Linked DNA regions of Kluyveromyces lactis. Each later gene encodes a partner of the first gene's protein in a complex. Links are inferred from orthologs where the notes say so. Each region holds a gene or a part of one and is shown in the gene's direction. Other genes may lie near its edges. The genes, in order: ASK1 and DAD2.

Evidence for each region.
Region 2: the proteins of ASK1 (region 1) and DAD2 are in contact, whole or in part, in a cryo-EM structure (PDB 8Q84), measured with the Saccharomyces cerevisiae proteins. The link is inferred for Kluyveromyces lactis from reciprocal best matches to the Saccharomyces cerevisiae genes ASK1 and DAD2. Residues at the interface, in NP_012872.2 of Saccharomyces cerevisiae: Lys6, Glu7, Thr9, Leu10, Leu13, Asp14, Glu16, Ile17, Asn20, Leu21, Lys23, Ile24, Asn27, Leu28, Phe30, Cys31, Lys34, Ile35, Asp38, Ile39, His42, Tyr46, Ile49, Arg52, Ile53, Ser56, Thr57, Trp59; in NP_013009.1 of Saccharomyces cerevisiae: Ile4, Asp5, Ile8, Lys11, Arg12, Glu14, Leu15, Leu18, Gln19, Ile21, Thr22, Thr25, Asp26, Leu28, Lys29, Leu32, Thr33, Leu35, Asn36, Ile39, Lys40, Met42, Gly43, Ala46, Asp47, Val49, Ala50, Met53, Asn54, Trp56.

What each region holds. Positions count from the first base shown.
Region 1 is NC_006039.1:1,069,381-1,076,748, forward strand, and holds ASK1 (Ask1p), read left to right. Parts: upstream 1-4,082; coding exon 4,083-4,739; downstream 4,740-7,368. Other genes in the region: LPX2 (Lpx2p), read left to right, coding at 1-1,877; SFK1 (Sfk1p), read right to left, coding at 2,262-3,188; MDM35 (Mdm35p), read left to right, coding at 4,990-5,244; DNA damage-responsive RNA polymerase-degradation factor DEF1, read left to right, coding at 6,168-7,368. UniProt on the Saccharomyces cerevisiae protein: Component of the DASH complex that connects microtubules with kinetochores and couples microtubule depolymerisation to chromosome movement; it is involved in retrieving kinetochores to the spindle poles before their re-orientation on the spindle in early mitosis and allows microtubule depolymerization to pull chromosomes apart and resist detachment during anaphase.
Region 2 is NC_006037.1:698,286-705,613, forward strand, and holds DAD2 (Dad2p), read left to right. Parts: upstream 1-3,760; coding exon 3,761-4,159; downstream 4,160-7,328. Other genes in the region: CDC21 (thymidylate synthase), read left to right, coding at 341-1,279; SGO1 (Sgo1p), read right to left, coding at 1,440-3,224; NUP133 (Nup133p), read right to left, coding at 4,248-7,328. UniProt on the Saccharomyces cerevisiae protein: Component of the DASH complex that connects microtubules with kinetochores and couples microtubule depolymerisation to chromosome movement; it is involved in retrieving kinetochores to the spindle poles before their re-orientation on the spindle in early mitosis and allows microtubule depolymerization to pull chromosomes apart and resist detachment during anaphase.

The sequences.
Region 1 (7,368 bases):
CTGATATTGTATCTAATTTACCTACCAAAAAGGAGTACATCCAATCCGCTGAAAAGGAATCTCATGCAGCTGAATGGGCACAGAAAGCTGTTGCTGCATTGAAGGATTTCAACCCGGATGATGTCACCGACAAGAACTGGAGAGAGAGGGAAGAAGAAAGGAAAAGGCTTATCAAGAACTTGACTTCAGAAACAGTCCTAACCAAAGCTAAACTGAACGCTCAACAACGTTTGGATACCATTGATCGTGAGACTTCTCAAAGGGCTATCTTTAGAAACGCGGAGTATAACAGGGCTGCTGCTAGTGTCGCTCAGGAAAATTTAAGAAAGACTCGTTCTTCTGCTTCTGCTACTGCCAATAAAGTAAATTTGGGCGGTGGTTTATGGCTAGCTCCTGATGATATCGATAATATTGCGAAGGGTCTCATTGCACCAGTGCTTGATGAAGTTGACCAAAGAACCGGCGCTCAACGTGCAATGGACATTGATATCCAAAAAAGAAGCGTGGATTACCAACAGCAATACGAAGAATGGGTCAATATTCAAACTGAAAAGCAAAACAATGATTCTTTGCTACAGGCTAAAGCTTTCGAAAATCATCAGAAGGAAACTGCTGATATCGAAGCTACTTTGGCCAAAAAGTTCCAGAATCTTTGTACGCAGAAGGACAGTGAGGTCGCTAAATTAAAAGAGGCACTCGAAGCTAAGAAGGCGGAACTTGCTAAATTAAAAGAGGATAATGAAGAAGAGCTAAAGAGAGAGGATGAAATGATTACAACAGAATGTGCCGACTTACAAAAAAGCAATGAAAATGAACTTGAACAGGCTAAGAAAGACCAGGAAGAGTTACTGGTTCCATTCAAAAATGACCTCGCTGCTGCAGAAGACCATCACACGGAGTTACAGGATCAAAAGGGTAAAATTGAAGAAAATATCCAGGAGCTTCGTGATTCAATTGAAAAACATAAATCTCATGTAGAAGAATTAAATGCTCAAATTGAAACACAGCAACAGCAACTGGAAACAGAGACTGAAGCTTTAAATCTCCAGTCTGAAAGCCATCAACAGTTGAAAGATGGTATCGAAACCAATTATGTCATAATGGCCGAAAAAGCAAAGGAAGAAGCCAAGGTTTCCAGTGAAGAAGCAAGGGTCAAGCAATTGGAAGTAGATGCGATAATTAACGAACGTCAAACTGAACTATCAAACACCGAAATTGAAGTAAAGAGGGAAAAACTTAAATTAATTGACGCTATGAAAGAAGTTGCTGAAGTAAAGAATGAGGATAAAATTGACGAAGAAAAGGCCAAGGCTTTCCTGGGAACAACATCTGGAGAATTCCTTGCTAGCCAAAAAAAAGTTGAGCCAGCAACTAAATTGCAATCTGACCCAAAGTTATCAGAACCTTCTTCAAAAAGTACCAAAATTGAAGGTGTTACTGGAAATGTTAAAGCGGATGTCCCTGCCTCTCCACCTGCTCACAAAAAGCATTCAATTGGAGGATTAACCTCTCCATTGAAATCAAAGAAAAAATCTGATAAGGACCAGAAAGGATCTTCTATCAAGAAATTTTTTGGTTTGAAGCCATCTGATCAAAATAAGAATACAAAGACCACGCAACCAACTCCTCTTAAAAGTTCCCCAAAGCCTTCTAATAAACCAGTAACGGCAACTGTCACAACCGAAAAGAAGGAAAATGTTGAACCGAAATCTACAGCAACAGAAACCAAACCTTCACTGGAACCATCATTTAGTGGCTTTAGTCAAGGCTCCGTTCATAATAAAGTCGAACAGTCAGATGCTTCTGAAGTAGAAGGTGGAAAAGAAGAGCCTACTTCCAAGGACAACAGAAAGTCCTTGTTCAAAGAAGTATTTTGATTTGAGCTGTGAACATGGTCTGCTCACATTTTTTTATACTATTGAACTCTAAAACCAATTCATCACGTATATCAAAAAGTTCTTTTTATTGATTGATCTTTTAATTACAGTGTCAGAATGATTCAACTCTTCATAATTTGAAGCCATTTCAAAGTAACAAACCGTTATGTATCACTATGAACTTTATTTTTTTCTCTATCTCATAACACTTTTTAAAATTCCCAGAAGCCTGGTAATTTATTCTGTTCTGTTTATTCTATCTATAATATACTCTATTTTTTGTAAAGTTCTAACTAGTATTATCATTATGCTATATTTCAGAATATCCTTCCGAGTAGTTTATATTTACAACTTCATTAATAATTTCTTGAGAAACTAAGTGAGTTATAGTGCGTTCAACTGATTGTACTTGTAATAGTTCAAATTCTCCGTAATTGTGATTTGATGGAAATACTTGGACTGGGTATATCTTCCGCCAATATACCAGTCAACAGAGACAATAATGAAATATAATCCGAACCAAAATGCCAATAGCCATTCAAAACAGGCAGTCGTTGATCTATCTTCTAAGCATGCAAAACAAATAGCCCAAACGAAAGCAGCTATTACCCAAAATGCCTTTAGTAAGCCACTGATAGTATACTTGTTCCAAACATGGCCGTGCCATTCATTCCACCTTGTGTCTTTGCCGATATCTTCACTACTTGTAAGAGGATGGACGACAGCGTAGTGTCTGCCCATTGTCATATATTGTGCGACATGACAAATTACACTCAATCCGACAAATGCACAGAATATACCCACCATGGAACTGTGCACCCTAGGATACGTGTTTGTTGAGAAGATAGTGCACATAAGCAAAGCCAATTCACCTATACTTCCTAGTACGAATGAGGCCCATACTAGATTCCGTTCATGTTTGGTAAAAAATGGAGGCATGACATATTTCTTCTGAATTAAAGCTTCGATGTAGTTCGATTCCATTATAGAGCTATCGTTAGATTTTTCTAAGTCATCATGATAAGTATACGGTAACTTGAAAGGCCAATGACCAGATCTTTGAAAATACTCTAGAGCAACCATGATTACGTATCCTAGACCTTGCCATGCCGCACAAGAAATAAACAACGGTTTTAAATTGGTCGCACCAATATGGGATATATAAACCGGGAACTGGTCTGTATGCATGAACCAATAAATGGGATGACCTTGTCCTGCCCAACATGCCAACATCGCAATTAGCATCCCATACCATGGAATGAAAGCTATCCAGGGAAAGATAAACCAGTAGTTACCTGGACGTGGAAACATATTAGTATAGTCTTGCGGTTTACGTTTATACCTGTATCAAATCCAATCCTTATGAGAATGTCTACCAGTGATATTCTTTAAAGGAATGAGCTATGTTGACCTTGTCCCGTCAAATTCGGCTGGTATAATATACTCATTCTTTTCCTTATATATCTAAAACCCGACTTCCACGAATAAAAAACAATATAAACTATATTTGACATATTTATATATATATGCTTTTATATGGCATGGCTTGTGTATGGCACTGCAGTGATGCTGTCACTGATGCCTTAAATTACAACTTGCTATTCACTGAATGTAACTGTCAATCGGCTCGATGATACACTAGCTTGAGACACCCTGCGCGATTTCTGGGCGCTTTGTTGCGATATTTGCTCCAGTAAAAAAAAAAGGTTTTCTTTCGATGCTTTACTAATAGGTTTCGAGGCTTAAGAGCAAGGATGGATAACGTAATGGATGATATCTAATTTTCCACTCCGAGTAGGCAGAGCCTTCTAAGCCATTGATACCCTTGAATAGCAGACGTGACCGGTGTCCTTGAATCAGTACGTATTATGTAGTTTAGTTTATACTTTCAGCTTGGAAATATCGTAAGCCTCATCCGAATCAGCCTAGCGCTTCTTCGTTGATCTGCAGAAAGTTACCTTGGCATTGCAGAGACTTTCTTTATGTCATTTCAAATTTCTTCTTAGAGTTACAAGAGGAAATATGAATTTGACCAAAAAGTCAACAAACCGGTTTGACAGAAAGGATTTGGATTTGGAAGTGTAAATAGTGACGGTTACAGGTAACAGGACGCGGTGTCCGTTGTTATAAATATTACAGTAAACAAGGAAAAGGACGCAATTAGTCTGTGCCAATTAGCTAACACTAGGTTTCCTGTTTTACATCATGGATGCAGTGAATATTGAACAAATAGATCAAGAGATCACGTTAAATTTACAATCAATCGATTCAGACCTCTCGTACTGTTTCAACAAGATAACAAAGGATATAATACCGTACGTGACGCGATATGGACAGACTTGTGAAGATATCACGAATTCTAGTTCGTGGCTGAAAGAAATGTTTCAGCAGAGTGCTAATGTTCAGTTGGTGACGGATCAGGCTGTGGAATCTGCGGGTCAGGTTTTGGAGCCCCGGACTTCCTTATTTCCAGAGGTAGAAAACGAAACTGATGAGTTCCATACAGTCGATCAATACCCTGCTTTATCTCAAACCGGAGTAAGTTCCGCTGGTGCCCCCACCACGAAAACAGGAGGATCGGTAAAACAGGATCAATTTCAAGATCAGGATACCGATGAGTTGACTCAGGATAGTGCAATGGAAAAACAGAGGAAGAAGAGAAAAGTTTCGTTACAAATTCACCAACATTTCAATTCGTCGTCATCTTCTAATTCTTCAATGGAGAATGATATCTCTGCAAACAGTTCCCCAATAAAGACGATCCCCCCGGAAACAGAAACTGGGACAGAAACACATAACAAAATCCAGGGCGAATTGGCCAAGCCGGGAACCGTTATTCATTTTAACAGCAAACGCGATTGAAGCTCTGTCTTAGCCTTCCCCCACTCACTTCTATATCATAGTGTGTGAGGTATACATTGTTACTCAGGGTTCCAGATCCTATGACCTGAACGAACAATCACGTGATATAATACTTTCCTTTTTAGTTTCATGCTTCTATAGCTTCGTTTTCAATCGGATTTCTACATGGTGAATTTGACATTCTGATTATGTGCGATGCAGAGACTAAGTGAGTATTCATATACGATACAAGATACGCCACAAAACTACCATGGGTAACGTGATGAGTGCAAGTTTCGCTACAGAGTGTACACCTTTGAAGGGTAAGTACGATAAATGTTTTAACGACTGGTACAGCGAGAAATTTTTGAAAGGTGAGTCAATTGAAAACGAATGCCAAACCGAATGGTACGAATATATGGAATGTGTCCAAGCTAGCTTGGTGAAACAAGGCATAAAACCAGCTCTAGATGAAGCACGTAAGGAAGCACCATTCGAGAATGACGGAAAACCTGTAGAGCCTTGAATTGCGGACCAAAGAAACGCATACATACCTGCGCCATTCGCTATGATGAATCTAAGTATAAAATAAATTAAAATGGGTTTCATTTGAAACCTCTGTAAATAGAGAATACAATACAATACCTAGCGCGTATTTTTGACCACAGTAGGGTTAACATTACCAGGAGTTTCGACTGAAGTTGTACCACCGCTACGTGATTATACCTTAATCCTTTCTCCACCGTAAGTCAGGGCAACGTTCGTCCTTTGTGATATCTGCTGTGCAACTCTCTTAATTGGGGTAGCCTTCAGAGACACCTACATAATTCTGCATATAATAATTCAAACATATCACCTAAATAACTAAAGCACAAGAAGGTCCAGTATAATGACTGCTGTCATATTCTTGTAGAACTTCGTGCCAGCTCCATCTCACTGTTTCTATCTCCTCATTGCAGTACTAGAATAGAATATTCTGATTACCCTCCCTCCTTTTTTACCCTATTGCCACCAATAGAAAAATTGAAATAAGAACATTTTCGATAAAAGTAAAATTTGATTTCGAAAGATCTGGGAAAATAGGAAACAAATATTGTTAAGTTAGATAGCTTAATACTCCAGAGAAAGAGTTCAAGGATTGAAACGGCGTTTAAGAGTTCCATTTTTGTAACGATACCTATCTCGCGTGCTTTTCTTGTTGCGAGCAGATACTAAAATTGTACTTTTTTTGGAAAGAAATTATACTCAACATTTTCCAATAAAGCATTATAAAAAATTTGCATACTTGCTTAAACTTCTAAGATTAACAACAAGCAATCAGAACTACTTCAAGAGAACTACTACTACTCACGCAATCCAATTACAGATTATTACAATAACGATCGCCTTCCCTCTTTTGCTAGCAATAATTTAGGTTCGCACAGTTTTTATCAATAGAAATAATCCCGGATGTCACAATTTAAGAGAAACGCCAGTTCGAAGAAACTGGACTCTGAGACTAAATATAAGCTTGAGACGCTATCAGAATTGTTCCCAGATTGGACAAATGATGATTTAATTGATTTAGTCCGTGAATATGATGATCTAGAAACCATAGTTGATAAGATAACTACTGGAGCAGTGACAAAATGGGACGAAGTGAAGAAACCATCTAAAAAGGAAAAGCCTGCATCGCATATAGAACACCAATCTCATAGTTCTCATCAACAGCTGCAACAACAAGCCGCATCACACCTGGACCCTGAAGATTCTCCTTCTCTAATAAATCAACATCATTCGCATCAAAGACAATCTAGATCCACCTCTAAGTTCAGTAATAACAGCGCCAATGGCAAATCAGTGCAACAAAGACAGCAACACCAGTCAAATAATAAAGATAACAAGAAGCAGCCTTCAAAGGATAGTTTGAAGCCTGCTCCATTACCATCTAAATCTAACGCTGGTAATAACGCGGGGTCTTGGGCCGCCGTATTGGCAGAAAAGAAAAAGGCTCATGAAAAGAAGATTGACCATACAAAGTCGTCTAATACAATTGCACATGAATCTACTAATGAACAATCTGAATCTAATGAACATACCGAACCAACTGAAGTTGAAGTTGCACCTGCCCAGCCTGTTGACTCTGCACCAGAATCTGTCAGCCATCAACATGCGCCAGAATCTGAATCAATCGCCACCACAAACGGTGATTCTAAGCCAAAGAGTTGGGCTGACATTGCAAGCGCAAAGAGCAGACAAAGACAACTACAGCAACAGAACAAGAAGCAACAACAGCAACAAAAATCTAAGCCATTGGACAACTTTGATGCTTTGAAGGAAGAAGTTGATCAGTTGTCTTCTGAGCAAACGGAGAATGGAAACCACGCTATTTCTCAAGAACCAGAACAACAGCAACAACCATATGCTCAACAGTCTACATTTGAGGAACCTGCCCAACAAGAGGAAGAAGTCGTAGCGGAAACTACCGAACAACAACAATCACAGCAGCCACAACAGGAAGAGCCTGCTCAACCAGAAGTTTCTCAAGTTCAAGAAACTGCCCCTGTATCTTTGCCAGAGGAAACCAATGCTGCTAATGGTGTCTCTAACATCCAGTTCGGTTCTGAAGACAAGGCTGCTCAACAAACTCTTGCATCTCAAAACTATTACC
Region 2 (7,328 bases), on another chromosome or scaffold:
ACGATAGTTGCCTCTAATTGGACAGTTAATAGACAGTATAATTACCAGTAGAACGGTACCTCCTTAACCAAAGTAACCTTTGGTTAAATTTGATTCGCATTCGTTTGCCAGACCAAAGCTTCATCGAGGATGGAATTAAGAATTTAGGTAGCACGTGACATTGTTTCACCATCATTACCCGGCCATTGAAAAATTCCCACAACACGAAAACGCGTTAAGAATCAGACTACGGCTTTTAAGAGTTAAAGGCCATCTCTAGTTTAAACTCTATCTTACTTCAACCATCCTTCGACTCCTTTGGCGTTTTATCGGATCATTAAACAACCAACATTTGTCAACCATGACGCTGAGCGATGAAAACGTGAAGAGAGTTAAGCTTGAGGCTGTTAACGCGGAAGAACAGCAGTATTTGGATTTATGTGAAAGGATTATCAATGAGGGAGAATTCAGACCAGATAGAACTGGTACAGGGACTTATTCCCTTTTTGCGCCTCCACAGTTACGGTTTAATTTGAGCAATGATACTTTCCCGCTTCTCACTACGAAGAGAGTGTTTACGAAAGGTATTATTTTGGAGCTCTTATGGTTTGTTGCTGGATGTACAGACGGGAAGAAATTATCAGAACAAGGCGTTAAGATATGGGAAGGTAACGGTTCTCGTGAGTACCTGGACTCACTTGGGTTGACTGACAGAAGAGAGGGGGATTTAGGACCAGTTTACGGGTTCCAATGGAGACATTTTGGGGCCGAATATAAGACATGTGATGATGATTATAGTGGTCAAGGTGTTGATCAGTTGAAGGAGATTATTCATAAGTTGAAGACAAATCCATACGACAGAAGAATAATTCTTTCTGCATGGAACCCTCCGGATTTCCCCAAGATGGCTTTACCGCCATGCCATGTTTTCTCGCAATTTTACGTCAGTTTCCCCAAGGGAGAAGGTGCCAAACCAAGATTGTCATGTGTACTTTATCAGAGATCATGTGATATGGGTCTAGGAGTACCCTTTAACATCGCGTCGTATGCGCTACTGACGAAGATGATTGCTATGGTCTGTGATATGGAACCTGGTGAATTTATTCACACTTTGGGTGATGCGCATGTTTATAAAGATCATGTTGATGCATTAAGGACACAAATTGCCAGAGAGCCAAGAGCTTTCCCAAAATTGAAGATAAAGAGAAATGTCAGTGATATCGACGATTTCAAATACGAAGACTTCGAAATAACTGACTATAACCCTCATGGGAAGATTCAAATGAAGATGAGCGTTTGAGGATCATGGATAATTGGTATCATTTGTCTATCTAATGTATGTACTTAATATTATCTATATCATGCTCAAATACCGGAAAAAAAAAAAGATTCATATGATATGTGCCATATGCTGGTATCGAATGTTGGTATGGGACGGGTTGAATGCTGAGGTAGTTCTATCATATGCTTATTTCGTCATTATGAATTCTTTTACGTTTTTTGTTCATGTCTTCTTTTGCTCTGACACGATGTGTCCTGGATACATGTTTCAGAGAAATTCCATCTATAATTTCAAATGCTGCTAGATCTGAAGTAGCCTGTTTAGTTCTTGTCGGTTTCACGTTGCTATTTTCATTTTCATCAGATACATTTGGATCGGACGAGTTGTTTTCAATAGCTTGTTGCTTTGTGGGCAATGTGTTGAACTTGACATCTTTAAGCACTCGCGATTTAGTGTGGCTTATTGCTTTTACGGCAGTAGATGTTTTAACTTTTCTGTTGATAGCGTTAGCTGATAATTCTTTCAGAGCGATTTTAGGTTTAACGTTTTGTGCAAGGTGAATCTCATGTAATGGTAAAGCCGGTGGTTCCTTTCTGTTCTCTTCTTCCACTGTTGCAATGACGACATTTGTGTCAGGTACGCCAGCAGGCACTAAGAGTTCTTCCTGATCATCGTCATCAGACGGTATTCCCTGTTGTTGGTTATTTCTACGTTTCACTTGTAAATCATGAATATCGGTGACAGTTGTGGCATCCACCAATTTTTCAGTGGGTCTACGCATCTTAGCACGTAGTGATGGGAGTTTATAGTTGACAGCTTTGCCTCTAGTCCTTCTTTCTCGTTTTTCATCATCTTTATCGTAATCTGTGTGGGGCATAATATCATCTTGGCCACCTTTCAGTTTCGTCCTAGGATGTTTCATGGAATGTTTAATTTTCGATTGTGATGGGATTGTGCACTGGACGATATTCATTGAGTCATCAGCCTCATTGTTGTTTGTCTCTTCTCTGTCGTTGTATACATCAATTTTCGATTTCGACGTTTCCAGTAGGATATGTGAATGCTCGTGAGTTGAAGTTTCCTCTGGAATGGAATATTCAATGACTGATGTAGTGAAATTGTAAGAATCATCTTCGGCAAGTGCAGTTTCCATTTCTGTAGTATTATTTTTATTGGTATTGCTACATTCAGTGCCTGTGTTAGTAACAGATGGAAGGACCGGTACCAAAGGTATCGTAGAGACATTCTCTTTTCCCTCGTCTTCACGCTCTTCTTTTGTATGCTTGTTCTCCTGAGACTCTTCCTCAGGTACTGAGGTGGCTGCAGTACTAGGCGGCGGTTCATCCTCAGTTATCGGCAGTTGATTCAGTTCTAGTTCCGGGTCCTCATCGTTAAACTCGAAATCTGCAGGAATGAACAACGACTCTCTCCGTGAACTCTTACGCCTCCTCTTTCTCAGAGGTCGTACCTCATCATCATTCAGCTCGAGACTATTCCCGCTATTTTCATGGTTATCTTCCGCAATTGGATCCTCAAACCCAACTGGTTTCGTTGTGGTATTTGCACCAGTAAACTCCACTTTCTTCGCAGATCTCGGGCTTATACCATTCGAGCCTCTCAAAATCGGTTTAAGAGGGTTATCATGAATACCTGATTCTAAACCCTGGCTCTCCCGTACTGTGGTCAACAATTGGTTCATTTGCAAGAATTTTTCTACAATTCCGTCCTCTAACGTCTGGAAAACAGTATTGAGCTTCTCACGATAGCGCAATTCACCCATAGAAAGCCGCGACCGTAAGGAAACATTCTCTTGCACCAATTCACTCACTTTAGTCTCCATATCAGTGATTTTCATCATAAGACTGGAATTATATTTCGCAAGCTGACTGTTCTGCTGTAAATAAATTCCCTTTTGTTGCTCAAGCATAGCTTGAAATTCATCGTACTGCGAAGAAGCGCTCATGTTGCACTCTCACAAAACTTAGTAACACTATCCGCCGTCAATTCGGGTCCCTATAGACTTAGGAATCGCTCTTCTTTCAGTCAATGAACAGGTTATTTAAACGCTGAATGAGATCTAAAGCTTTGAATGTTTTCATTGTTTACGTTTTGTTCTACGATGTAAACACAAAAAAACAAGATTACCCGGATCATATTTAGTACTACATTTAATTCAAATGAGGTAAGTTGGACATGTAATGGGCAATTTGATGTTATCCAACCCTTCGTTCATTCTAAATAGCGGTGTTAATGCTTAGCGTAGCTTGTATAGATCAATCTCCCCTGATACAAGTCGGTTTTCTCGAGTTTTCTTCCTTTATTTCAATATCGGAATAATATGAAATCACGACTTTGAACTAATCTCTACAATGTGAATTCTTTCAAAGACTAGAAGAACCAAGAATTATCAGCTAAGATAGACACTTCTCGGAGCGAGTTGGATGATATATTCTAGCTGAAGAGTAAGAGGTTTGGGTCACCTGAAAAAAAGTTGTCAGTATGGCATTTGAAACCGAGATCGAGACTAAGAGAAGAGAATTGAATTATTTGAAGCATGTTTCTGCATTGACACAGAAATTAAAGGCTCAATTGGACGAGCTGAGCGTTCAGGTAGCGCAGATGAATAGCAATGCTGTGACTGTTAAAGACGTAATGGCTAATTGGGACTCGGTTCTTCGGTCTATCTCTCAGGCTTCGATATCTTTACTTCAGTATACAGAAAACGACTATGAGACTGGGAAATGGGCCAGTAAAGAGGAACATAGAAACCAACAGGGCGCTGAAGATGAAAGTGCTGCGTCAGAAAGTTCAGAAGATAACCAGCAGCGGCAACAGGATCAATTACCTCCGCTTCCGGAAACTTTGGTACGGGTGAAAGTTGCAGATGACGTTGAATAACGTTTTTATTGAATATATACATATGGTGTATAAACAGGTTTTATACTATGTACAATTAATTGGTGTGGCACCTTCTTCTATTATTGAATTAGAAAGATGTGGGACTTGTCTCGATTGTGTTAGTTGCGTAATTGATGACACATTGGTTACCGGTTTCCTCGTTGATTTCTCCAATGATGGATTGTAACATCGTAACGTCCAAATTCGAATTAGCGAAAAGAGCAACCTCTCGTTTGACGTCGCTAGCTAATTTATTAAGATCGGTTAGTCCATGGTACATGCCATCCAGGTATGAGTCAGTGATCAATTTCTCATTGGCCAAGTTGTCGATGATTGGAAGTTCGATACTTTGATGGTAGAACTGCTGCTTGAAAAAGACCCTTAAAGTTTGTCTAACCGCATTTTCATCGGATAAGAGACACCTTCTCCAGATCTGGTACTCGCAGTACTTTTTTACTTCAGTGGGTAACGTGTGATCAATGGCAAGGATACTCAATGCAAATCCATAAGAAGTATCTTGATTTAATAGTGTGAATAATTCTATCATATGCGGCACTGAGAGAGATTCTCTCCTCTTCACAGCATCGCTCAAATATTTGAACAAAGTTCGATAGGTGGTAAAGTCTTTGAATAGTGGGTTGAGAGTTGATTCTTGTAGTTCTTGGGATAGAAGAATTTGCCCATCGATGAGATCTAATTCGGTTTGAATTTCGTTTAGCTTTTCAAGATCTTGAACTTCCGCGGCAAGAGCTGTTAATTTGGCAATACTCAATTGTGCCTGTCTTTGTTTCAAATCTTGACCCAGCGATTGAGTTCCAGTAGAAATACTCAACAAAGTTGTAGTTGCTTCGTCGTATTTATGGCAATATATGTTTCCAATCCATTTAACTTTGCCATACTCGGGACATTCTCCTAAGAACTGGTCCAAATATTCTGAATGGGTTTCACCAAACGATTCGTAAAGATCATCCCATAGCCCTTCCTTGATATAGTAGGAAAATAAGGATTTTGCAAAGTCGTATCCGTATTTCTGGAAGAATTCATCGTATAGAGAGAATGCGGTAATTTTTGGCAGAGATTGCAAAGTTTCAACTAAGCCTTCAAAGTCTTGGTAAAAATCTGTGATTAGAATTGAATCCTGAGACCTGTTAACATCCCTAAGGACCCTATTCCAAAGTAAATGATTTTCTTCGAAAAACTGTTTATAACTAGAATCAGTAATGGCATTTGCATCAATCCACATGGTTATTTGCCTGACCATATAAAATAGAGACTTAACCAATAGCAGTAATTCCTCTACAAATTCTGACACAACGGCAAGATCTTCAGAGGCATGCCTTAACAAGAAGAAGATGTCATTAAGATTTTCTATTATGCTATTTGTTGTGAACCAAGGGATATTTTTTGATACATCATCTGGGCTCATCTGGAAAAGTCCATACCTGTAGCTGTTTTCACATTCTTCTAATATGGAATGATAAACTAGTTGATTTATAAGCTTTGCGATCTGAGATTTTAACATAGTTTCATTTGTGGATTTCATTAGGTCTTTCAAATGCTTCAAAAAGGCGCCCAATAATTCTGGAATCTTAACAATGCCGTCTGAGATAAAATCAGAATCCGATTGATAGGAACTTTCTGATAGTACTGTCTTCCAAGCTTGTGAAATAGATGTTGGTTGTTGCGGTAGTAAAGAGTACAAGCTTTCCAAACATTTTATCATTTCAAAATCAGAAATCAAGTCCAGTTTGAATTGGGAAGATGTTTGATCCAAAAAATTATGAGCAACAAATGTGAGAAGTCTTTCAAAAAGTTCGCTTCTTATTTTTAAGTGTTTCATGGGGTTGTTAGCAACAGGCGGTATGTGGTTTGATAATGCATATTTAATCTCATCACTGGACATTTGAATATCTGTTTCAATTTCTTGTGGTTGTAGATCTAGATTGTCAGGTAAGTTGAAGTCTAGTAATGAATCCGTTGATTGTCCTCCAAAATAGACGTATTGATCCACATGAGACTTTATGAATCTAATTTCTTGGAAGTCAGAGTTTTCGTATTTTTCAAAAGTCTCCAACTTTAACGCACATGTTCTTCCATCAGTAATGTATAAGGAACTTGAATTACAATCGTACCCAAGAACTTTCATATCTTTGTTAAACCGTATAATGTCCTCCCATTTCCTTTTAAATGGATAATTAGAGTCCAATTTGGAACTTGTTTGAGTTAGGACAGCAGCATCAGAGAATAAAGTGTAAACAGACGTTATCGGTAAATGTTCCTTGGTGTATGCAGTTGGGACTATAAGTCTTGGGGCAAATTCATCTGATAATGGTCGCGTGTATGTGTTTAATCTGTAAGTAGAGAAGATAGCGAAACTGTTAGTATCTTCATCCACAATGATGGTTGATAGTAAATAGTGCGTTTCGTTACTTTCCGCTAAGAAACTCAAGAACAAGTATGCATCCGAGTCTCCTGATAAAGGATGACAATCGAGTAGTTTCAGTGTAGATGTTGCCAAGGGGAAATGCTCTAAGACTGCCTGTGAAATTTCAGACTGTACATTTAAATCGATCTTTTTGTAACAATTCCCAACAGATGAAAGGTTCCACACCTGATATCGCCCGCCCTGGGTTAAAATAGAAACTATTCTTTCTCCTTTACCGCTGATTTCGCCCAATTTGAGAGATACCACTCTCTTTGATTTGGACATGGATGAAAAGATTCCGACTTGACATTTTATTATGGTTTGTTTTAGCGATACAAAAGGTTTCCCGTTAGCATCTCTTATAGTACAAAACTCAACACGCCCGTAATTTGTCGAAAGTAATATTCCAGCTGGTTCTGCATTAATCAAATTCTCTACATATTCACCGTCACGTAGTTTTAAAACTGATTTATGACGTTTGGTTTGCGTCAAGAAACTTGCCACTTGACTCACAGTATCAACATCTTCATAGAATTGAATGTCACCGGATCTACTGTTCACTAAAAATAAGCCAGGGCTTGATTTCAAGTCACGTTCGAGCACACTAGGCCACGTAAAGCAACATAATGGAGGACGGGACCATGATTCATATTCCTCGTCATGTAATGGAATCCTTACAAAACTAGGGTGTGTTTCAGAAGATAAAAATGGCCAAACGTAAACATTATCAGTATCGCAGCATAA